Linked DNA regions of Mytilus edulis. The protein of the gene in region 1 interacts with the protein of each later gene in a pairwise test. Links are inferred from orthologs where the notes say so. Each region holds a gene or a part of one and is shown in the gene's direction. Other genes may lie near its edges.

What was found.
Region 2: the proteins of poly [ADP-ribose] polymerase tankyrase-1-like (region 1) and proteasome inhibitor PI31 subunit-like interact in binary tests that used the Drosophila melanogaster proteins (3 or more experiments, as listed by UniProt). The link is inferred for Mytilus edulis from reciprocal best matches to the Drosophila melanogaster genes Tnks and PI31.

What each region holds. Positions count from the first base shown.
Region 1 is NC_092347.1:81,452,125-81,464,398, forward strand, and holds the start of poly [ADP-ribose] polymerase tankyrase-1-like, read left to right. Parts: upstream 1-7,207; 5' UTR 7,208-7,254; coding exon 7,255-7,447; intron 7,448-9,983; coding exon 9,984-10,208; intron 10,209-12,274. Other genes in the region: trans-1,2-dihydrobenzene-1,2-diol dehydrogenase-like, read right to left, coding at 1,695-1,845, 2,546-2,673, 3,148-3,397, 3,750-3,913, 4,767-4,878, 6,540-6,647. UniProt on the Drosophila melanogaster protein: Stimulates proteasome activity, probably by ADP-ribosylation of PI31. Modulates 26S proteasome assembly.
Region 2 is NC_092355.1:34,355,263-34,367,829, reverse strand, and holds the start of proteasome inhibitor PI31 subunit-like, read left to right. Parts: upstream 1-6,944; 5' UTR 6,945-6,975; coding exon 6,976-7,107; intron 7,108-8,285; coding exon 8,286-8,435; intron 8,436-9,486; coding exon 9,487-9,566; intron 9,567-12,567. Other genes in the region: tRNA (guanine(10)-N(2))-methyltransferase homolog, read right to left, coding at 600-692, 2,412-2,493, 3,262-3,335, 4,190-4,267, 6,815-6,913.

The sequences.
Region 1 (12,274 bases):
TTGGGCCCTTTTTGGTCCCTAATTCCCAAACTGTTGGGTCCAAAACTCCCAAAATCAATCCCAACCTTCCTTTTATGGTCATAAACCTTGTGTTTAAATTTCATAGATTTCTATTTACTTATACTAAAGTTATAGTGTGAAAACCAAATGTCTTCCACGACGACGAAGCGGCATACGATGATGACGCCAACATCATACCAATATACGTCCAAAATTTTTTCAATTTTTGCGGTCGTATAAAAATTACATCATGTTTTAATGACCAAAAATTAGTGTTCACGTACTACTCTGTAAAAGAAGTAAAGGACATGAATAAATGAAAAATGGATAACAGAACCATGTAAAAAAACAAATTTCTTTATCACTGGTTTTGTTCATATACAAATCATATTGCTAATTAAACTGTTGTCTCAAGTTAGTGTACCTCATGTTTTGCTTGACACAGAACATGGTTATACAAAGTGGAAAAAAAAGTATGGCATTAAAATGTTAATTTAGACATGTGTATAGTTAACCAGGGTTTTCGCTGTTGGTCACCATTTTCACAATTTGCAAAAAAATAATAATTGTGGCGATTAAAATTCGTCATTGGCGAAAGAATTTGGCGAAAGAAATATATATACGATTTATTTTCAGCCATGTTGTTTATTTACATTTTTTCGGGTTTCTCAATTTTATCTGATCAGACAATATACTCAGAATTCACCTTGAACTCGTTTAGATTTTGACAGAAAATCAATAATCAGCTGATTGCATTTTGTGATATCGACAACAAAGGATTACAACAAAGGACTAATCAATAACGGTGTTGATTGTATTGTTGACAAAATAATATGGGTAAATGGCGTCTATCACATGTCACAAAAGGATCGTTAATTAACTACTTTGCGACGCACATGTTCGAAGCAAACTCTTGACGTTTCCTTTCCTTCTTTTAATGAAAGAAAACTGTTGTAATGACGAAAAAAATTTAAAAGCAAGAAAAATCGCCGATTTAAAACTTGATATAGGTAATTGATTTTAAAGAGTACTTTAAAGTCGTTTGTGTGTCACGACATGTTTCAAGCATAGTTTTACGTCTCAACTTTTTCATTTTCGATGGCCTAGACTAGAAGAAAACTGTCATTATGAAGAAATCTTTGCAAAAGATTGGGACCAACGTCTCGAAAGGGAGTAACCCTTCAATGGTTACCTACACCTTAATTGAGGGATCAATTCCAATTGATAAAAGCTTTTGTTTTGTTGTAAAAATCACTTCATAGACCAAAAGGGCACCTATTTTTCTTTTAATGAAACTTTCTCAAAGAACTGTATATATTTCTTGTAATATATTGTCAAAACATGTCCAAGAATTTTGTTATATTATGGGACTGATATCTTCTTTATTATCAAAAGTAAGTGGCCCCCTCTAAAGAAAAGTTGTTCAAAATACATGTATAATGAATTTTCACCCTTTTAAAAAAGTTCCGTCTTTTTAATAGTAAATGTTAAGTGTTTATTCATTACGTAGACTCTAAGATAAGTTTGAGAGAATAATCATAGACAAAGATGGGGCAAACTCATCTTATTTAGGGGGGAGGGGGAGAAAAATATGTTACTTGGCGAAAAAAATATCAAAGTGGCAAACAATATATTGTTTTGGCAAAAGAGGTGGCAAAAATAATTGACCCAGGGGAAACCCTGGTTAACCTTACCACTTCTGATTAATTTGAATGCATGGTCAGCTTCATATCGTAGTCCACCACTGTTATAAAAGTTATACGGTGATGGACCTTCAGGTATCTTATTTTCTAATGTTGTTTCTGTCAGCTTTACAGACTTGGGACACCAGAAACAATCATCAATCTGTAAAATAATAAATCATTTCCTCATTTTCTGTCACATTATTTTAATAAAAAATTCAACTGGTTTCATGTCAGTTTCACGTTTTAATTTTATTAACTTTGGCTTTACTTTTAGGGATATCAATAATCTTTCAGTGCCAAGGTCAGTGTTACTGTACATATAAAATGACCTTCAAGCGACCTTTACTATGTATTTAAAGGCAGCCCTTTTGCACAACTTAATTAAAATTTTCCTTCAACTTTTGTTATTGTAAAGCTGTCTAAACAGCATCTATCATTTTCATATAAATTTTCTTTCTTATGCTTCATCAAAAGGTGCAAGGAAAAACTGTATACAAGAATATTGCTGCACCATGTTGAAATATTTTCCTTTTAAGAACCGTTTTGCGCTGTCTAAATTTTGAAAGCTACAACAATTTATCTTCATGTACGCACATTTGCATGCCATAGATAAGCAAACCAATTTTTTAAAAGAGTGTTTTAAATCATGGTTTATTAATCTTTTTCTTTCTGTGTAACTAGAAATTTATAGTTTGCTTTGATAATAGCCTCGACACATAAAATTTAAGGGAAATATACGAGCAACTAACATCATAGAACATAAATATTTCACAGATTTTAACAATAAAATGTTTATTAAAACTATGAAACGAATTATCAGGAGCTATACACAGTAACACACATTTATCATAAAAACTTACAAAAATTTGACCTTTTGATCCCATTATGGTAGCTGTATTGTTCCCAGAGGCAGTTTTACCACTGTATACCAAACTAGCTTTTCTATTTCCACTGTATAATAATATTACACATCCATCTTCATCCACACCTGTATATAATATATTCAAGAAGCTTCACTTGATTATTCTTCTTAATATTTTTACATAATTCTAATGGGATTAGAGTCAGAAATGCAGTTAATTTTGGAACACTTTTTTATATGCACAATATTTGTTGATAGATTTATAATTATCATATTTACTTTATAAGGGGAGATAACTCATATTATTTTAATTTATTTTAGTTTTTTCTTAATAAGAAAGCAAAATTAAAGAATATTCAAAAGTTCATTAAAAATGAGCTTGGTCATTTGCATTTTCTCTAACATTGAATTTTCTAATGCAGATATTATATCTCTCTTTAGTAGTCTTTAAAAGACTATTGCGGTTGTGCTTTTTGTCATGTATACAAATAAGAATAAACTTCTCTGTGATACACATTATAGCAAATAAACTTTTTTCATAAGTATATAATCCACACTTAACAGCAGACTATTGAAGTATTTGGTGACTCATGTGGTTACCTTCCTCATTTAGGCTACCAGTTGCAATAATCTTTTCTGGCATCTCTCCATATACATGACAAGCAAACTGTATACAGTAGATTCCTATATCTAGAAGTACACCACCCATTAAATCCTTCTTGCATAAACGTTCTACTGACATAATAGGAATACAGAATTGTGTGGTTACCATGGAAATGTCTCCTAGTTTTCCAGAATTTATTTCATCCTTGATTGCATCATAGACTGGGAAGAATCTACTCCAAACTGCCTAAATATAGACATAAAACTAAAATAACTGTGATGTCATTGTGGATCAATCATAAGTACCGGTATGTTGAAATTGACATATTTGACCAAAATGAATTTCATAACACAGATTTTGGACAAAATTGACAAGGGTCAGAAATTCATATTTTATAGATTTTTTTCTTCCCAAAAATTTAAATTTCACAAAATTACCTTTTTCAAAGGAAATCTACATTGCTTAAGATACATGTTTTCTATAACAATCTAAAAGAAAGTAATCTTTGCATTGGCCTTTATTATGCTGACCTATCTAAAGATTAAAATGCATATTGTGTACATAATCATAAATTTTACAACTAGCTCAATAAGCTTACCTCAAGGAACAGTAGTTTTTTCTCTTTGGCATAATCTAGGACCTTTTTACATTCTTGCCAGGTTGGTGCCAATGGTTTCTCACATACCACATGTTTTCCAGCCTCTAACATCATCATACTCAATCTGACATGCTCTGTATGTATCACCCCGATGTAGACAATTTCTGGAAATAAAATCTACTATTGAAAGATTAAAAAATTTCTAAATCTAGACTGCAGAAAATTATTCTATAATGGTTATATCTTGCCACTAATTGATTATTGTTGTATAGTGTGGAGTAGTTGCAGCAGTGAGGGTTCAAATAGGATATTAAAATTACAAAAGAGAGCTGCTATATTAATACTAGAAACACACCCTTTCGCTCCTTCTGTGCCCTTATTCAAACACTTAAACTGGATGACAGTTTATCAGAGAATAAAATACCACAAGTTTCTGATGACATTTAAGTGCATCAAAAATGATGCCCCATCATATCTTACTAACAAGTTTCATTATGTTTCAGAAAGAAATACATACCCCTTGAGAAATGTTGTTCAAGGAAACCTCATACTCCCTAAACTAAAAACAGAATTGTTCAAAAAAATCTTTTATGTTTTCTGGACCATTCTTGTGGAATAATTTGCCAATACTGTTAAGAAATATTACAAATGTTAATTCTTTCAAATACAAAATAACAGATCATTTATTGAAATCGGCCTAGCTGTATAAATAATATTAAAAACTGATTATGTCATCATGTTTATTTTTTCATCACATTTTATCAAGTTGTATTGAACATTATTATCATACATAACTTTTTATACTAATGTATGCAATGTATATGTTTGCATTTTGTTTGATTTTTCATGATGAGGGCCTCAGGGAAGATTAGTTATATAGCTAACTGTGTAACCCTCTTAAAATAAAAAATTAAAATAAAGTATTGTTATACACTGAATCAATACATTTCCTATGATCATCTTATTTTCTACTTAACAGTGTTAAAAAAATGAATATCAAAAATAATAAATACAAACCAATATCTGGGTCATTAGCTACATCTTTATAAGAACCATAAGCTTTTGGTGCTTCAAATATATCTGCAAACTTTTGGGCTTTTTCTTGGGACCTGGCAGCAATAGCAGTAATCTAAAAATAAAAAATAACCAACTGTAAACTGTTAAAAGATTGGATAATCACTCCCCAAGATTATCATCTGCATAGAAGCATGTAGTATTTTGAGTATTGGCATGCATATGCGTTTAATTATATTTTATGCTTGTAATTGTTTGGTAACATACGTACTGAACATGATGAAAGTTAAGTTAAAATTTAGGCAAAGTCAACCTTGGAATGAGTTGTTTTTTGTGATCTCAAAAAGGTTCATCAGTTTTTCAAACTTTTGGTCATACCTGATCATTCTGTTGATGGTTAATTTACATGGAGATGAAATGTGTGTCTGGCGTTCTAAATTATAATCCTGGTACCTTTGATAACTATTCACACCACTGGGTTGATGCCACTACTGGTGGACGTTTCGTCCATGAGGGTATCACCAGCCCAGTAGTCAACATTTCGGTGTTGACATGAATATCAATACATGTAATGTGGTCATTTTTATAAATTTCCTGTTTACAAAACAGCTTTATAAATATTTTGATATGAGCGTCACTGATTAGTCTTATGTAGACGAAACGTGCGTCTGGCATACTAAATTATAATCCTGGTACCTTTGATAACTATTTAATTACAATATGTACAAAGATTCAACAAAAAAGTAGAATTAGTACTTTTAAATTTACTGTTTAAAACACTCTTTTCAACTCATCAAAAACCCATGTGTATGTCCAATATCAAGAACACTGTATTTTGAACTATTGCAATCGTCTGGGACACTACAAAAACATATAAACTTTGCCTGTATTTCTCAACCTAAAATGAATAAATTCCTTAACTATATGGGAACATATGCTCATTTGAACATACTTCACATATACACACTGTGTAAATAAACTTGAAATTTTTGTGTTATGGTCAAACCGGTTTTGGGGTTAAACACTAATTTTTCCAAAAAATCTGGAGGCCTGCTAGACGACTTAATTCGTTTAAAATTGCTATGAACGAATACTTTTACATGTAATGCAGTACAAGCTACTGCTTATTTGTCACATACATATGTTTCAATGACATTTTTGTCCAATTTCTGTATTGTACCTTCGATATTCGTTCACTCAGATACATAAAATTAACTGAAACTCCTAAATCAATACATTTTCTTAAAAATCAACATTAGCTTGTACATGTACTGCATTACATGTAGAAGTATTCGTTCATACCAATTTTAAACAAATTAAGTCTTCAAGCAGGCCTCCAGATTTTTTGGAAAATTTAGTGTTCACTTCCAAAACCGGTTTGACCATAACACGAAATCTAGCAGGCCTCCAGATTTTTTGGAAAATTTAGTGTTCACTTCCAAAACCGGTTTGACCATAACACAAAATCTAGCAGGCCTCCAAATTTTTTGGAAAATTTAGTGTTCACTTCCAAAACCGGTTTGACCATAACACAAAAATTCTAAGTTTATTTACCATGTTTACAATTTACACAGTGTGAATACGTTAAGTATGGTTAAATGAACTATGTTCCCATAGTTTAGGGATTTCTTCATTTTAGATTGAAAAATAGAGGCAAGGTTTTGATGTTTATGCAATTTTCTATATTTTAACTTTAGTGGAACCTTAACATCTGATAAAGATGCACTAACTTGTATTAAAAAATATTATGTATATTATAAAACATTAATACAATACCTTATGTTCCCTTTCATATCTGCTCAATGTCATCATTGCAGAACAGAAATCATTGCTGATTTTTCCAGCGCCACATATACCCCAATTCAAAACCTTCTCTTCAGCCATCCTTTCACTCTAAAAAATAAATGTCTCTTTACTTATCTATACCACAACTCAAATTCTATGACACAAGGTTCTACTAACATATACAAAATTTCTAGAAGTTCACTGTTTTTTACACCTGCACCCGAAGACACTTGACTTATAAACCCTAAACTAAAGCAAAAAAAGTTATTCCAAGGCCAAGAGGTGACAAGATTTATAATACACAATGTCATTCAGAAAGAGTTTGGTTTCTTATTAAGTGTTTTTGTCTAGTACACATTCCAGTTTTTATTTTTCATCATACCTGTTATAACAAAGAAATATAGAGATATGTATACAGTAGCTGGATAGAGCACCTGCACCTGTTATCAATTAGTTAAAATGAATAAAAGAAAGATTTTATTTTGAATATATATATATTTATCCTTCTGTATTTTCAGATAAATGAATTAATTTGAAATACTATCAAATGTTTAATTGAAATCAATTTTGATTTATAATTAATACTGATGTATTTTTTAATCTATAATTTGTGAAAAATACGGAATTTTAAAAATAAATTAAATCTCTCCTTTACTCAATATATCTCGCATCTGGCGATAGCTTGCGAGAATTATGAAAATTGGAGATGGCGACAACCCGTCGCTCGCTTCTCCAGAGTGAAATAGGAGGTTCTCCGTCCCATAATGATCCTGGAAGAGAACTTTTCGAAGCTTGCAGAAATGGAGATTTGAACAAAGTAAAAAAGCTAGTCAATTGTCACAATGTGAACTCGAAAGATACAGCAGGGCGGAAGTCGTCTCCTCTCCATTTCGCTGCAGGTTTGTTTTCGTTTCTACATTTGAATTTTGAAAATCGCCTCACCTACAACCACCTTACCCTTTTCAAGCCTCTGTAATTTAGAAAAGATAAATCTGATACTCAAGAATTTAAACAGACTTTGTCCTAATGAATTGATTGAAAAATATTAAATACCAATCTAAATTTTATTCTCATATCATTGCATATTATGATATAATTTAGTCATAATAAATATTTACATCATGCATATGTATCTGCATATCAAAGGCTAGTCCAAATTCTTATGATGTCTTGAAAGACTATTTTATTTATTTACTTAAATGTCTAAATGAGGGGGGATAGGACCTTAAAGCTTTATCGGGACTCCGGGATCGGGTGTTTTTAAGCTCAGGATTTCGGGATTGACACTTTCGGGATCCGGGAATTTCTTTATTCTAATTTCGGGACCTCTGGATTTCGTGTTTTTAAGCCCGGGATTTCATGTGTTTAAACCCGGGATTTCGGGATCAGGACCCCTCCTATCCCCCCCTCTCTAAATCTTACTACATTGTACTATGCTGCAGAAAGCTGGCAAAGCAAAAATTAATATAGCTTTTCAAGCCATAATTATTTGGACTAGGGTGCAGTCTGGTTTCTCGGCACACTTACATGTAAGAGTTATGACTTCACTTCATTCAACTGATAAAACCAATAATTGGATAATATTGTGTGAACACATTCATAACATACTTTTATTTCATAAAATTTTCTGTTTGTATGGTTTCACCCTCAATATTTAGTGTTATGTGTGTCCAAAATTAGGGAAACCCCTTATCTGAGAATTCCTCCAATGTCCAGTTATTTCGTGCATGCCTTCCAAAAAAAGCTTATTTTCAATAAAGGAAAGATTTTATACTATGAAATATAGCTGAATTTGAACCTAACACACTGCAAAGGATGCAGGGCAAAAAAAATTTCAATCTGATATAAATACAAATACAAATGTTTTACAAATATTTTATTAGCACAAACTCATCAACAATAAATTAAATGGTTAAGGCTCATGGTATATGAATTACATAGTTGGTCAAACATAATAAGTATTGCAAATAATGACTATATTGATATGTAATATTATAATTATAAACAATGATTATGAATTAGACATATTGACAATTTTATAGAGTTTGTTCTGCTTTACGCAGGTTCAAACTGTCTGAGATGAAAGAGGAAGTCAATTTTAGGATTGTGTATGAATTATTATTTAATAAAAAGATTATATTATTTTCATGTTTTTGAAATTTTGTAGGATCAACGATTATATTTGAATCTTTATGGTAAAATATGCCACTTTTAGTTGAGTATTTTTCACAATATAAAAGAAAATGTTTTTCATTTTCAATTTGACCAGAATTACATACAGAGCAGAATCTCTCATTTCTGAGAATATTTAGATGTCTCCCTCTTTCAATCATCAGTATATGAGCGCTTATACGGATCTTACATATTGCTGCTCTGTCACTTCTGTTTTTCAATATATCAACATAGGGTGGTCTTCTGCCCATTATGTAGACACTCTTGAAAAAGTCTAACTTTTTGGATTCAAATATATTTGCATTCTGGACTTGCAAACATTGGTCATTAATTCTTTGTTTAATAGAATTTAAATTACCTTTAACATAATTAAAGTTATTTTTTAGTCAAAATAAAACAAATTTTATCTGATGATGTATTTTTGTTTTAATGGAAATTAGCCAAATATGGTAAATCAGGGGATTACAGTAATTATGAATTAACTCTTCCACTTATCAATTTTATTCTTTTTTTTATCCCTTTGGAAGGCTAAAACAATAACAAGAATTATTTTATTTGTGAAACTATGTTGATAGAACGAAATCAGCTAATTGGGATATCACTGGCCACACAGAAACCAGGGACTCCACTGTAATCCAGGTCACTTGTTTTATTTGATGGTCATAGACCCCTTCATCTTTCTTAAACATTTTTTATTCCAGAACTGTATTTGGGAATCCTTTGAACATGATGAATATATACCACTTTCTCTAATTCTTACATGATTTCTCCTTTTCCTTCCATGTTGATTATATTTATTAAATCAATGTGTGGTTCCTTTGATCTCAGTTTTTCATTGTTAAAATTCGATAATGATGTCAAATTCTTTTTCTTTCCTCTGAATTTTTTAATATGACGGCATGAAAAAATGCGACCATGTCTGATGAAAAACACACCTCTTTTTGTAGATCACTTGAAAAGAAGGAATACATTTGCTTTCATATTGTTTAAAAATAGTTTGAGAAACTGATTCCACTGTTAAATCTTGTGTAATCATATTTATCCGCACTCCACAGCTAAATTTAAATATTTAAAAGGCTCGGCGAGCCTCACAATTTAAATTTGAAAATTTAAACTATCTCTAGAGGATAAATATTGTATTGTATCACACTTGATGCAGTGGTAAAAATCTATATTTAGCAGTCACATGCGATGTTATGTCTTATGAATAATTATTTTAGATTGAGTATGAGTAGAATTAAATATCACAATTATACGTTACAGGATTTGGTAGAAAGGATGTAGTAGAGCATCTTCTTGAATGTGGTGCTAGTGTCCATGCTAAGGATGATGGTGGATTGATTCCCCTTCATAATGCCTGCTCCTTTGGACATGCTGAGGTTGTTCAGCTATTGCTCAGAAGTGGCGGAGATGCTAATGCAAGAGACAATTGGAATTATACACCTCTTCATGAAGCTGCTATCAAAGGGAAAATCGATGTTTGTATAGGTAAGTTGTTATTTCTGATATTTCTTATACATCATATATTTGTGCAGGTCAAAACTTTTCCTAAAGGCTTTATTTTAGTAGCAAGCTCTTTTCATACTTTCATATTTTTACCCTAACCCTTTTAAAATTGGTAAAAGGGAAAGGGGGATGTGAAGAAAAAATCGGGGGGGAGGGGGTTAAATTTTTCTCATTTCAGATTTCATAAATAAAAAGAAAATTTCTTCAAACATTTTTTTGAGAGGATTAATATTCAACAGCATAGTGAATTGCTCAAATTCAAAAAAAATATTTTAAGTTCATTAGACCACATTCATTCTGTGTCAGAAACCTATGCTGTGTCAACTATTTAATCACAATCCAAATTTAGAGCTGAATCCAGCTTAAATGTTGTGTCCATACTTGCCCCAACTGTTCAGGGTTCAACCTCTGGGGTTGTATATAGCTGCGCCCTGTGGAGCATCTGGTTAACCTTCATACAATGTAGATTGTCATGAAACTTGAGTTTTAATGACTGAAATGGTATCTCCTTCTTGAAAGGTGGACCTATATTTAGAAGGGTTAGTTTTATCTTAAATTTCTTATCAATTGTCTAGATTTCAAAATAACTCAGATTCAAATAATTCCTTGTTAAACCTTTTTGTGTTTATTTCTGCTTTGGAAGCAATGGATACAGTATATCAGATACTTCAATCAAAACCTCTTTCAAGGAATAACATAAAATATTAGTGAAGTTTATTTTTGATAGCTTTGGCATTCACTTTTACAGAGTTCATTGCCAAATGGGTCAATATTCATAATGTGCCTCGAAATGAGTGATATTGGACATGTTTCTACAATTGACTGAGCTTAACCATTTATGGTGATTACGAAAGTAGAGGAACATAGAATAAATGTGTAAAATCTATGGACCTATTAAATGTGTTCAAAGTATTAAATTTTCAAAGAACTAATTGTGTTAAAAAAAAATTACCCAGAGGAGCCGCATCACGAAAGGATGTTCGGGTATGCTAATCTACAAAAAAGTAGTCTCACTTTGTACCCTGAAAATTTAACCACATATGTGAAAATGTCACAGCTTCAAAACGAGCTATCATACATATCCAAGTTTACAATATGGACTGAGCTACAGGAAAAAACGTTGCCATATCTGCATATTTATATGTAAAAACAATTAAAGATGTTGACCCAAATGGTTATAAGTAATATCTGTTTTCTTTGTAATTTACGTGATATTTTGTATTATAATGCAATTAAGCATATAACAGTAATTTTAATTGGATGATGTCTTCTATCAATTCCTCTATTGAAGTCAGGCCAAAATAAAAAGATTGTATGTTTGCCCAAACGCGACCGACCCAAAATAAACCTGCCGACTCAAATTCTTTTTTTAATGTTTTTTTATGCCCCACCTACGATAGTAGAGGGGCATTATGTTTTCTGGTCTGTGCGTCCGTTCGTCCGTCTGTCTGTTCGTCCGTCTGTCCCGCTTCAGGTTAAAGTTTTTGGTCAAGGTAGTTTTTGATGAAGTTGAAGTCCAATCAACTTGAAACGTAGTACACATGTTCCTTATGATATGATCTTTCTAATTTTAAAGCCAAATTAAACTTTTGACCCCAATTTCACGGGCCACTGAACATAGAAAATGAAAGTGCATGTTTCAGGTTAAAGTTTTTGGTCAAGGTAGTTTTTGATGAAGTTGAAGTCTAATCAACTTGAAACTTAGTACACATGTTCCCTATGATATTATCTTTCTAATTTTAATGCTTAATCATATTTTTTATCCAATTTCACGGTCCATTGAACATGGCAAATGATAGTGCGAGTGGGGCATCCGTGTACTTTGGACACATTCTTGTTTGGATTTATTTTGGGTCCGCTCCGTCATCGTACAAAACTTAATGTTTGTCGTCTTTGCGTTTGAAAGTAATTGCGAATAAGATTAAAAGAAAGCGTATAAGAGACGCAGTTAATCGATATTCGATGTTCTCTGTTTTTATCTTCTGATTTAACGAACGTAAAGAAGTAAAACAAGTGAATTGGCACAGTACTTTACGCTGTAGTTGTTT
Region 2 (12,567 bases), on another chromosome or scaffold:
AAACATCAGAAAATTCACATGTCAGCAAAGGCCAGCTTGCATATTTTGGATGAAGTACACAGTCTGACACTCATAAAACAATCAATTTTCTAGGGCGTCTATTTTCTTAAATATTGACATCAGGAATGTGCTGTGCATGAGGTCTTATTTTTATTACAATGTATATTGAAGATTAAAAAATAGATATGTAAAATTACCACAGTAACACTGTGTTGCCAACTGATATTTTAGGAAAATTTAAAATGAAAAATATAATTGTGTAAGTTAACGGAAAAGTGGCAAAAGAGCTGGCAAAAAAAAATGACCTAGGTGAACCCTTGTACACTGGACATAAAATTTTAGGTATTTTAGGAATTGGGTGAGGTAATCTTGACTTATTGTAGGACAAAGAAGTGTAGACAGGCAGACAAACAGACGGGCCTTGCTCTAGAGCACTAGTCCACGTTTCTATATTTACAGCTCACACATTAACACATTTCTTTATTTACAGCAAAAACAATAACTCATTTCTATATTCACAGCAAAAACATTAACACAGTTCTATATTTACAGCAAAAACATTAACTCATTTTTATATTCAAAGCATATACCATGTATACCTCAATAATCTTTATTTTATCTTCCTGAGTTATTTTCTTGTTATATGTATCCACGTTTATTCTGAATGTCTTCTCAGCACTGAAACCTGATTTCTATAAAATAAAATGCATACTGTGGATTCATTTCTATGCCTGGGTATCAACTTTTTGTGAATTGAGGAAAATTGCACTTTCATAGATATTTTGTTTTGTGGTTTTACCAATCTCAACATACAGCCTTGAAAAAATTAGTAACTTGTTGAACATTTTAATTCATGGTTCACCAATACCCACGAAACCAATAAAAAATGGTATCCAACGAATGATTATAAATCCACAGTAAATAGTATGCTAGTTTAATAAAGAGGAAGGATATGTATACACTGTCTTTTCTGTTCAAAAAGATTAGGAGCAAAACGTATATAAAATTGAGAATGGAAATGGGGAATGTGTCAAAGAGACAACAACCCAACCATAGAGCAGACAACAGCAGAAGGTCACCAACAGGTGTTCAATGCAACGAGTAATTCTCCCACCCGGAGGCGTCCTTCAGTTGGCCCCTAAATAAATATATACTAGTTCAGTGATAATGAACACCATACTAAACTCCAAATTGTACACAAGAAACTAAAATGCATTGAGTAATCAAAGTAGTATTTATTACAAAAAAAACCTTTGGTTTGAACTTTAAACTGAACTGACATTTTCTTAAGCCATGTTGAACATATGTATTGCGTCAAAATTTTGTATGACGCCAGAAATTAAATATGCATGTCTAGTGTTTTTAATACTTGTCATGCTTGGATACATTAATATAGTCATAGGTTTAAATCAAAGAGCAGAATGCTCTGAGGGATATGATTGCCATTGTTTTCATTGACGCATGTATAGCAGTTCTGCCAACTTTTCATGAAGCAAATGCGCGAGATTTGGCCAAAATTGAAAAGATCAAGGAGAAAAAAAAATAGATCAAAGGATAATGCAGCAAAAAAGCGTAAACATGCGTGCATCTCACGCATTTCTGGCAGCCCTGGTATAGTTGGATAGTATTATTTTCAAAACTAATTCAAACATGTAAAACGTAATTTTTGTAATCTAAATAGTTACTCAATTTTAAAAATAGCCGATCCCGGATACAAGTGTATGAGCAATGTACTTATTGTGTTTTATTTTTGTACTATCAATTCCAAGTTTACACAGCAGTCACTGAGAGTGAGAGAAGGTATTTCACTTCGTATCTAATCCCCGTTAATTCTAGGAGGAACCCCATTTCTAACTCTTTAAATATTTAATTTCCTTTGGGTCAGTGGGCATGACTCCTTTCCGTACACACTTCTCTATTTAAATTGCGATTGTTTTTAATATAATACGACGTTTATTCGACATCTATTAAACGAGTCAATTTTTCTCGACGAGTTGCATTGTATTTTGATGGTAATTCAGTGGTTGTCGTTTCTTTATGTGTTACTATTTGTTTTTCGTTCATTTTTTTATATAAACAAGGCTGTTAGTTTTCGCGTTTGAATTGTTTTACATTGTCATATTGGGGCCTTTTATAGCTGACTATGTGGTATGGGCTTTGTTCATTGTTGAAGGCCGTACGGTGACCTATAGTTGTTAATGTCTGTGTCATTTTGGTCTCTCGTGGACAGTTGTCTCATTGGCAAACATACCACATCTTCTTTTTTATATGTTACTTCTTTACACAATTTTATTTAGGAAAAAGTTAAATCATTTTTTCAATATCATTTTACTCCCTTTCAAACTCTGAAGATTACATTATCTATAATGTTACATTAAAAAATTTAGAACCCCTTTTCATATATTTGTTACCTTTATTTCAGCTGGTATTGTTTCTACCTGTTCAGAAACTTCTTTATATGTTGCTCCATGACCCCATACTTCATACAGAGACCTACAATATATACACTCTCAATATAACAGGCTATTATTTAAAGTTGGAATTATTTTTAATTATGGAATTTGTTAAATTTTCTGTGCTGGAAATTTTTAATAAATTCCATGTTTATTTGGTATAATAATGTTTTGAGCGGTTCATAACACTTTCCATATAATGTATTTTGTATTATAGTGTTGTGCGCGGCACAGTACATTCTATTGAAAATGTACTATCTTCTTTGTAAAAGAAAGTGTTGTGCGCAGCACAGACCATTGAAGTACAGAATAAGCATGGAATTTACTAGAAATTTCAAGCACAAGAAATTATAAAAATTCCATGATTAATAATAATTCAAAGTTTAAATAATAGCCTGTTATATGTTTATAAGTTATTTAGGGGGGGGGGGGTAATTTTCTTGAAATTAATGTTAATATTAATGCAAGGACAAATTAACTTAGTAAACTATTAACAAAAGCTATTAATTCCTATAAACTGATTTGACCAAAAAAAAAAATCATCATCACTTAATTTTTTCTGAGTCTAACATATTTCAGCTGTCTGATTTAACTATGTGTAGTCTTGGACTGACCTACAATTTAAATTGCCTAACAGAAAAATAATTACCAATAATGTGTGAAATAATGTTTGGGTTGATTTCTTTGAAGATGTTAAAAAAACATTAATGATACAAAAATACCAAACAAGACATGTGTGGTAAATAGCCGTGAGTAGTCCTAACTAAAATATGAGGTTAACTTTTGTAACAAATATTTGTTGACATACTTGATTAGGACGGTTCTACTCATCAAATTTCTGGCTTCTTTCTCTGAATTCAGTTCTACCATCAGATATGGCGACTACAAAATAATAATTATCAAACTATACAGAGTTCACTGCTTAATAATTGAACTCAATCATTAGGAGTAATTAGTATTAAAATAATTGCTAATTCTCTTTTATGGTAATCACTGTTTTGAAACCACAACTAGATCAGCATATATAATACATTATTGGCAAAATCTTTCAGACTTTCAGTCTCAATGCTGTTCAACTTTTGTACTTTATTTGGCTTTTTAACATTTTTTAATTGTGCACGACACTGATTAGTCTTTTGTTTACAACAGATTCTATTGTATTTATAAATCATAATCTAGTATCTTTAAGAAGTTTGATATGTTTCAACCAAAAAAGTAACATAATCTTTCTCTTTAATGTGGGTCTCATTGGGGTATAAGCGTGACGCGGGATTGGCGATTTTTTGTAAGTGTGACACGTGAAAGTCAAATTATTGTGTCGTGAAAACTTGAAATGAGGTCTAGCGGGACCCGGGAAATGACAAAAAAATGAGAATTACTTACGTACATAGTGTAAGCGGGATACGGGAACCTGACAAAAAGTAAGCTGAATCCGGGATCGGAACCCCCCCAATGAGACCCCCTTTAATAAGGTTGATGTTAGACACTTAAAATAATACCTTTTATGATCAAATTTATTTTCAAGATTTATAAAGTGAAATTATTAAATTTGAGTCTTCCATCATCATGATCATTTGTCATTATTTATATTCATAAAAAAAAAAATGAAAATTTTAATTTCCTGAAACAAAATTGCAGAAAGCTTAACACTGCTTAAGGTGAATAGAAAGGGCTTAGTACAAAATAAAGTATCCACAAATATAACTTGATTTACAGTCTTTTTAAATATGACTTACACCAGGACTAGAACTATATTTATCTTCTGCCAGAGGTTTTGCAGTAAAACCAAACAATTCACTTATGGCTTTTATCTCCTGAAAAAAAAATGATAATAGAAGCACATTTATTTGTTATCATGGTTATGAAACATACATGTACCTGCCAACTGTCACTATTTGCAGGTGATTTCCCCCATGGAGGCTCCCAAAATGAAATTTTGAAAGAGCAATTTTGTTCACAATTTTAAACAAAACAATTAATTTTACAATGACATTAATTAGGCTTATAAAAGTATGAAGAAGCCAAAAAACAACATTAAAATGTATTTGAAGGCCCCTTGAAGGTTTTTTTAGAACTATGACAGCCATCTTGTATGCAAAACCCCCATGGGCATTTTGAAAAGTTGGCAGGTATGTGAATAAATATTGACTGTTTATAATAGACACATATACATGTACAATATCATGTTGTTCATACTTGTTTGAACCTGTCATCAGTAAGGAGTCTGTTGTTCAGTGGTTGTTGTTTGTTGATATGATTTATAAGTGTTTCTCGTCTTTCATATAGATTAGAAAGGGTGTTTCCTGTTTTTCTGAATTATTTACACTTACTCATTTGGGGCCTTTCATAGCTTGCTGTTCAGTGACTGAGACAAGGCTCCATGTTGAAGGCCTTATTTATGACCTTATAATTTTTACTTTTTACAAATTGAGACTTAAATGGAGAGCTATTTCAATGGCACTCATACCTCATCTTCTTATTTGTATTCTCTATAACAGTTTTCACTGAATGTTATTTGTCACATTTCAGATAAAATTCTTTGAAAAAATACAGGTATTCTCAGTTTTGAACGTGTTGAAAGATTTTAATTGTGCTTCTCTTACCTGCCTCTTTCACATAGGGACTGTACATTAAAAAAGAAATATTATGAACCAATGCCATATATACATCATGTACATGTAAATCTTCAATAGGATTGAATGATTGAAGAATCCCAATGGGGGATACCTTAGGTACATGTATGCAGGTTTGTAACAATGTTAAAATTTTTATATGAGCATAAAATTTAAAGACTTAAAGAAAAATGTGTGATGCAATCACTCTGAGTTGACTCATTGACAGTCAAATTTCCTTTCCAACATCATGAACATATATGTGTAGTCTCACTCTGATTTGTCTTTTTCTCTGTAGACATCAAAAACCTTTCCTTTAGCATGTTTAGACTTTGTCTGAGGCCAAATAAAAATATATGTGTGGTTCCAGTAACCCTACCGTCCCTACTTTTTCGGCTTAAAAATAGCCTACCCTAAAGATTTTATTGGCATTTTTCATTAAGCACTGTTAAAGTCAGAATGTTATCCCATAGACTCAATGTAAAAAAAAAACCATAAAATAAAAAAAATCCCTACCTACCTACCCTTACTTTTTTTCAGATGTAACTGGAACCACACACACTTTTTTATTTGGCCTGAGTTGGAATTACAATTGTTTTTGTTTTTGTTTTTTTTAGTTGACTTCATAGATAACCAGTGTTAAAAATGTAAAATTGTAAACGTTCCAGTTGTCTTGCACTTTATTCCATATAGATGTACAGAGTCACAGAGACCCTAGCTAGAAGTGTCCTGTGAAAACTGTTTAAATATGGAAAAATAAAGGGTGGCAGGTAGGTGAAGCTTACATAAATGAAGATCGAGATAAATAAAAAATGAACAAATTGATACCCAATTTATACAATTCCAAGGCCGTTAGTTGGCACCAGAAGCGACTAAGCAGCGCATCTTTTGGACGGACAAATATCCACTTTTTGATATGGGACAAGCTCTGACGTCCCACACCCCCGGCTTGACGAATCCGGGTCCGTTCGCGCCCATTCATGTTCGCACCCACTCATGTTCGCCCCCTACATGTTCGCACCCAAAGTCCGTTCGCGCCCAATTTTAATTGGTTTTGAGTTTAATAACTTTGTAATCATGTTTTGGCAAGTAGTATTCTTATAAGTATAATAGTTTTCGTTGTCTCAAAATAAAGTGAGACAGCATTTTTTTTTGGTGTTGAATAAATCTTAATTATGTTTTGGATAGTGTATTGTTAAAAAAAAATTATTCCTTTCTAAATAAAGTGGGATTCTGTCAATGTTTTATTTTGTGTTCAATAACTCTTAATCATTTTTTGGTTAGTGTATTAATTGCTTTAACTTTGTTTCATTGACTTGTTTCACAATGAAGTGAGATTCTGACTACGTCTTTTTTTTTTTTGTGTGTTGAATAAATTTTATCATGTTTTGGTTATAATAGTGTATTGCTATATTTTATTGTTTCATTGTTTCAGATCAAAGGGACCAAGCTGTTAAAAACAATTATCTTTTGTGTTTTTCATTTAAAATGATCTAAAATATTCAATCTTTTACTCATACCAAGCTATAAATACATTCAGTAATTACACGAAAGCAATTAAAAACAACAATCATGATTTTCCAATTATTCAACTGGTATTTGAATTAAAATTGGGCGCGAACGTGTAGAGTGCGAACGGACCTTGGGTGCGAACGTGCGAGGTGCGAACGTGTAGGGTGCGAAAGTATATTGGGCGCGAACGGACCTGAAAAAAGGTCCACAAGGATGTGGAATGATTGAAAAACTTACAGCATGTCTGAACTCAACATGTTCATTTGCAAATTGCAACAGATACTTATTGATTTTGGTAGAATTTGATAAACATGTTTTATTTATGGGAGCTGACATCTTTGTTTACATCTGAAAGGAAGTGAGATAAGGGAGACAACTGCCTGTAAAAAAAAGTAAAAATGGCTGGACAAGAAGTCTTATTTTGCAGCGTCATTAATCAATTACGATCGTCTCAAGATGCTCTTGTGACAGTGATACACTGGAATTTAATCTCAAGTGGATTTAAATGCTGTGGAATAGGAGATGATGAGGTGTTGTTTTCGGTGTTGTCAAATTTAATTCTATTTTCACTTTCTATTATTTCTACTTTCTCTTTGATTTTGTCTCAGAAAAAATAAAATACTGGACTATAAATGACAAGCTTCTGTATACGCAAAGAAGGATTAAATGAATGATTTGAAATACTGCCCAAGAAAAACTGACAACAACATTAACTAAGACTATGCATGGCAAAAAAAAAAATCCAAAAATAACAGAAACAGAAATACAAATATCAAATTTATAGTATTATATCCTACCTACATGACATATATTCCATACTCAATTTTTAATGACATAGAAAACTAAAGACTGAACAACAGGAAATGCAACTGTGTAATCTATGGTGCTCTGACAGGTAAGAAAATCCTGCTCAATATGTCCCCAATGTAGTGTTGCTAGGTTGCTGATGGAAATTAGTACAATTATTGTTTGGTTCCTCCTAGTAATTCTTATCACAATCAAGATGAGAGGACATTGCCATTATGCTACTACAATTTGAACATAAATTTGGTCATCTGTAACACAGACATGACAGATGTTCCATATTCATGATATTAAAACAGTCAACAAATCATGAAAATCATGATCATGATTGAATCTATAATACTTGTTATATAATCATCAACACTTTCACACTCTAATGTAACTTATCTTAGATTATTCCTTAAATCTAGACATTGAACATAGATGTATGATACAGAAACTTGCAATTGTCCATCATTGAAGGCTTCTCATCCATAACATTCATGAAATATTTGCCACTGCCTGGATGTGATTGCTTTACCATGTTTACATTTTGTTTGGTGTTACAATAGCATTGAGGTTTACCCCAAATATCATTGCATATGCTAAAATTGAAATATTAAATTTAAGTATTTATGTAATTCCATATTCATTCTGGTGTGTAGAATATCTAGTATAAGACATATCATAATCTTGTGTATCCATGTACCCTCACACTTGTGTCTTTATATAATTGAGGATAAGCGCCTAGGGTAGAATAGTCATATAATTTACTTCAAAAGGACTGATAAAATTACTATGACTGCAGGAAAGGATTGTCTTAACAAAAGTAATCAAATTTATAACATGTATAGTTAAATTTAATTTATCTCTGATATAGAACTATTTATCATGTTTATTATTTACTATTGTCATTGATTGTCAGAAAGCAAAGAATCAGAAGAAGAGTGAAATGTTACCAAATGGTTGGAATGCTAATCAAGACATGTATACCCTGAGATACAAGGATTCATCAGACAAAGTCCACATACTAAAGATTATGAGAGTTGACGAAGATTTACTGGTCCATTTCATGGTTAGTATATTAAATTTTATTTACTAGTACAAGTAAAAATTAATGTAATGCGGTCCCTAATTGGCATGTTTAAATTTTACTTACGAATTTAGTCACAATATTTAATTCCTGAAATAAATACTACATAATAATGCACCACATACCTCAATGGTCAAGTTACATATTGCAGTGGCACTGCATCGCTTTCAAATACAGTAATTTAATTGACTGTTATTCATAAATTATTGCAATAAAATTATAAAGTTGCTGTCTAAAAATGGTTTAGTGCTGTCATTTGTTCATGGAGTTTTCATCTGTAAACATGTTGGATTACATGCAAACGTTTTGTTCTGTTTGACAGCCAGGACAGGTCATGCTGAAATTTAACTATTATATAAATGCAAAGGGTTGGATTGCATTTTTATATTGATTGTTCCAAAATTCTAAACACACACCTGATATATATGTTGTCAATTGTCATATTTATTAAGTTGAAATAAAATATAATATACAATAAGAAAGTGTGGAATGATTGCCATTTGACTTGACTTGCCATCATGTCTGTCAGTGTCAAAGTAACATGGATTTTAGCATTTATACTACTTGAAGATCACAGTTTTGCCATCAATGATGAGCTACCCATACTACAAAGTCAGCTGTAAATTAGTGACAAATTGGGAAACAAGACATGAAAGTAGCATTTTTGTATACACTATTTTGCTATTAAGGTGGTATCCAACACTTTCACTAAAATTAATTTGGCTCGTTTAATTTTCATAAAATGTTGTTAAAGTATTTACTTTGACCCTTTAACAAAAATATAAAAATTTCAAACATTTTGAACAAACCATTTTGTCAGAAAAAATACACTGGTTATATATATATATAGAAGTTTGACAAACACCAATTTTGATCATTGAGAAGCTTAATATTCCCTTTACAACACAACGGAATTTACAGAGTTATCTCCCTGTAGTGTTAGGTACCACCTTAAGACTCCTAGAATCAAAAAGTTCAGTTTATTTTTCTAAGTTCATCTATTTATAACTTAAATTGTTCCTTGAGTTTTCAGGATATTAAATCTGAGAAGGTGACAAGTATAAACATCAGCACAACAGACTATACAACTGGTGACCTGTCCTCTTTTGATGAGTAAGTATCAGAACAGTAAAGCTGTAAAACTGGTGACCTGTAATCTTTTGGCCTGCTATAGGCACATATGTAAAGCAAAATGTTGTCCTATGAAATATTGTACCACAAGACTATATTTCATAACTATATATCATGAAATATTGTCCTCGTCTATGGAAAAGTGTCCAGAGAAGGAAAAATTTTCATAGCGAAATTTTGTCTGTATAAAGACAATATTTCTCAGATGAATGCTATGGATTTTATAGCTATAAATACGTTACCATCATAAATTCTGAGTGTAACCCCAATTGCGTCATAGGTCAGATGGAAAATCCCTACTAAAAATAAACGTACTCTCACTGGTCCGGACATATACCCCTGTTTGCCCATATTCTTCCATTCAATTTCCATCTGCGACATCGGTCACACGTGCACATCAAGTTTTACAGATTCAACAGAGAAGTGTTTAGTTTGTTTTGAATAGCTTAATTGCTTTTCATATATATTGTGTATTTTATTGGAAATATATTCCCTTGTTTTGTTTAAATTTCTAAACAAATTATTTGTGTTTTTTTTACTAAAGTAAAATTTATTATGGACTTTAATTTGAATAGTCCGTATGTAAGTATTCCTGGTTCGGACTATCTCTTAGATGGGTCACTACCTTTAAGTCCCCCCCAAACTACCAGTACATTGACCGGAGTTTCGACAACGGTGTCTGGTAATGCTACCTATCCGACCCTTTCACAAGGTTCGGCCATGCATTTTGGGGGGGTACCTACGTCAACTTCGGTGACTCATACTTTATCTAGGCCTGTTAATTCAGCGGGTACTATTAGTTCTGTCCCAGGTACAGCTATGGGCTTGAACTTGCCAGGTTCTAGACCCCCATTATCCTATTGTGGGTATATGCTTCCCAACACAGGCACACAACCTTTACCCTCATGGTCTCAGCCACCTTGGCCACAGTCTTACCCTTATGGTGGGTTTATGCCAAACCAACCTGGTTTTTGGCCTTATAGAGACAATTTCTATGGTCCCCCTTCTGGGGTAGCTACTGCACCACCTTTAGCTCCTGCTCTACCCGTAGCAGTATCTTTGACTTCTGCAGTAGCTCCTTCTACCACCGTACCTGACTCTCAAGCTTCTAGTTCTTCTCATGGTACTCAGGTTTCTGATCATGCATCACCTTTGGATGGTTTACAGAAGTTACTTTTGGACTTTGGTGAGTCTTTCAAAGCTGAATTTAGCACTCTATCCAGTCGTATGACTCTACTGGAGAATAGAGTTTCTTCTCATCAACCTTCTCCAGCTAAGTCTGTAGAATGTGATGAGAGGGAGGATGACGAGCTTTCTGTTTCCCCTGGGAGTCATGAAAGGGCTTTCATGAAAGGGCTTTCCTCACTGATGAGGATGTTGAAAGTTCTTCTTCTCCCAAGGTATCGAAGACGGCCCTTGAGCCTTCTTCTAAGTCAGCTCAACAACCTCCCACCAAGGAGACTGAGGATCCTCCTTCCTTGAAGGATCTTAGGGATAAGGTGTATACCTTGATGAGGGATGAAGCACATATCCCTTTTGCCTCTCCTTCCAAGCCGAAGAAACCTTCTTCAACTTTTGAAGCTTCCTGTGGTATTTCTCAGGATACTGTGACTTCTCACAATTCTTTTCCTGAATCTGGCCATATGGCTTTTGCTTTACAATTTATTAATGAAGGTATCGCTAATTCTGCTAGTGAAAAGGTTGCTAATAACAATATCTCAGGATTTGGAATGTCATCCTTTTCTGATCAGGTTAAGTACAAGGATTTTGATATCTTTGATTCTTCACTGGGTAGACTTGTTCCCAATTGTGACAAATCTATGTCATCTTTATTGGGAAAAAAGCCAGTAGATGGTCTTCGTCTCACTCAACCTGTTTGGTCAAAGACTGAGAATCTCCTTCGTAGTGCTTCTCAAGTTCTTGGCACAGCCGAACATTTTCTAGCTGCAACCGGACATTTGCTTAACAGCGAAGATTCGGTTGTTCCAGCAGAAGTACGATCCTTCTTACTTCAACTGGATAAAGCTTTAGGTTCATCTCAGTTGCTTTTAATGGGTTCTATTACTAATTGCACCCTATCTAAAAGAGCAGAGTTTCTTGAAAACATTTCTATCGCTGAGCCTTTGAAAGATTCTTTACTGAAATCTCCACTCTCTGACAAGATGTTTGGTTTACCCTTACAGCGGGTTCAAGAGGAACTCAGCAAAAACCCTCCTCCAGTCAAAGTTAGTGTACAAGTTACTAATGGCAAGAGGTCGGTTAATGCTACATCTAGTTCTACTAGTACTTCTGCTTCAGGTGGTCCTCCTTCTTCTGCTAAGAAAAGGAAGAATAACTACGGCAAACCGCAGAACAAACCCAATAACTCAGGAAAAAGCTCAGGTAAGCCTTCTGGTGGTTTTAAGGGTTCCAAGAAACCTGGGTCTAGTACCTAGGTTCTTGCCCCCTCATACGTTATTGACAGCTTCCCCAGGGGAAAATTTACAACAAGTTCCTCAAAAATCAATACCAGTAGGGGGGAGGTTAAGTTTTTTCCTAAATCAGTGGAAGAAAATTACCTCAGACTGTTATGTGCTGTCAATAATTCGAGGGGGATTAACACTTCAGTTCAAGAACCCAGCTCCTCTGTCTGCAGTTCCAATAAGTTTGTCTCATACTCAAGACCCAGTAAAGTGTCAACTTCTATCAGTAGAAGTGGACACAATGTTACAAAAAGCTGCAATAGAGGAGGTGTCGATCTTAACTCTGTCTCCGGGATTTTATTCCCGTCTTTTTCTGGTTCCAAAGAAGACTGGAGGAATGAGGCCGGTCATAGACCTATCTATTCTGAACAAATTTCTTATTGTTCCCCACTTCAAAATGGAAACAAACAGATCCATCAGGGCTTCAATCCTTCCAGGAATGTGGACTACTTCTCTGGATCTTTCAGACGCGTATTTCCACATTCCCATTTCCCAAACTTACAGGAAATACCTTCGCTTCG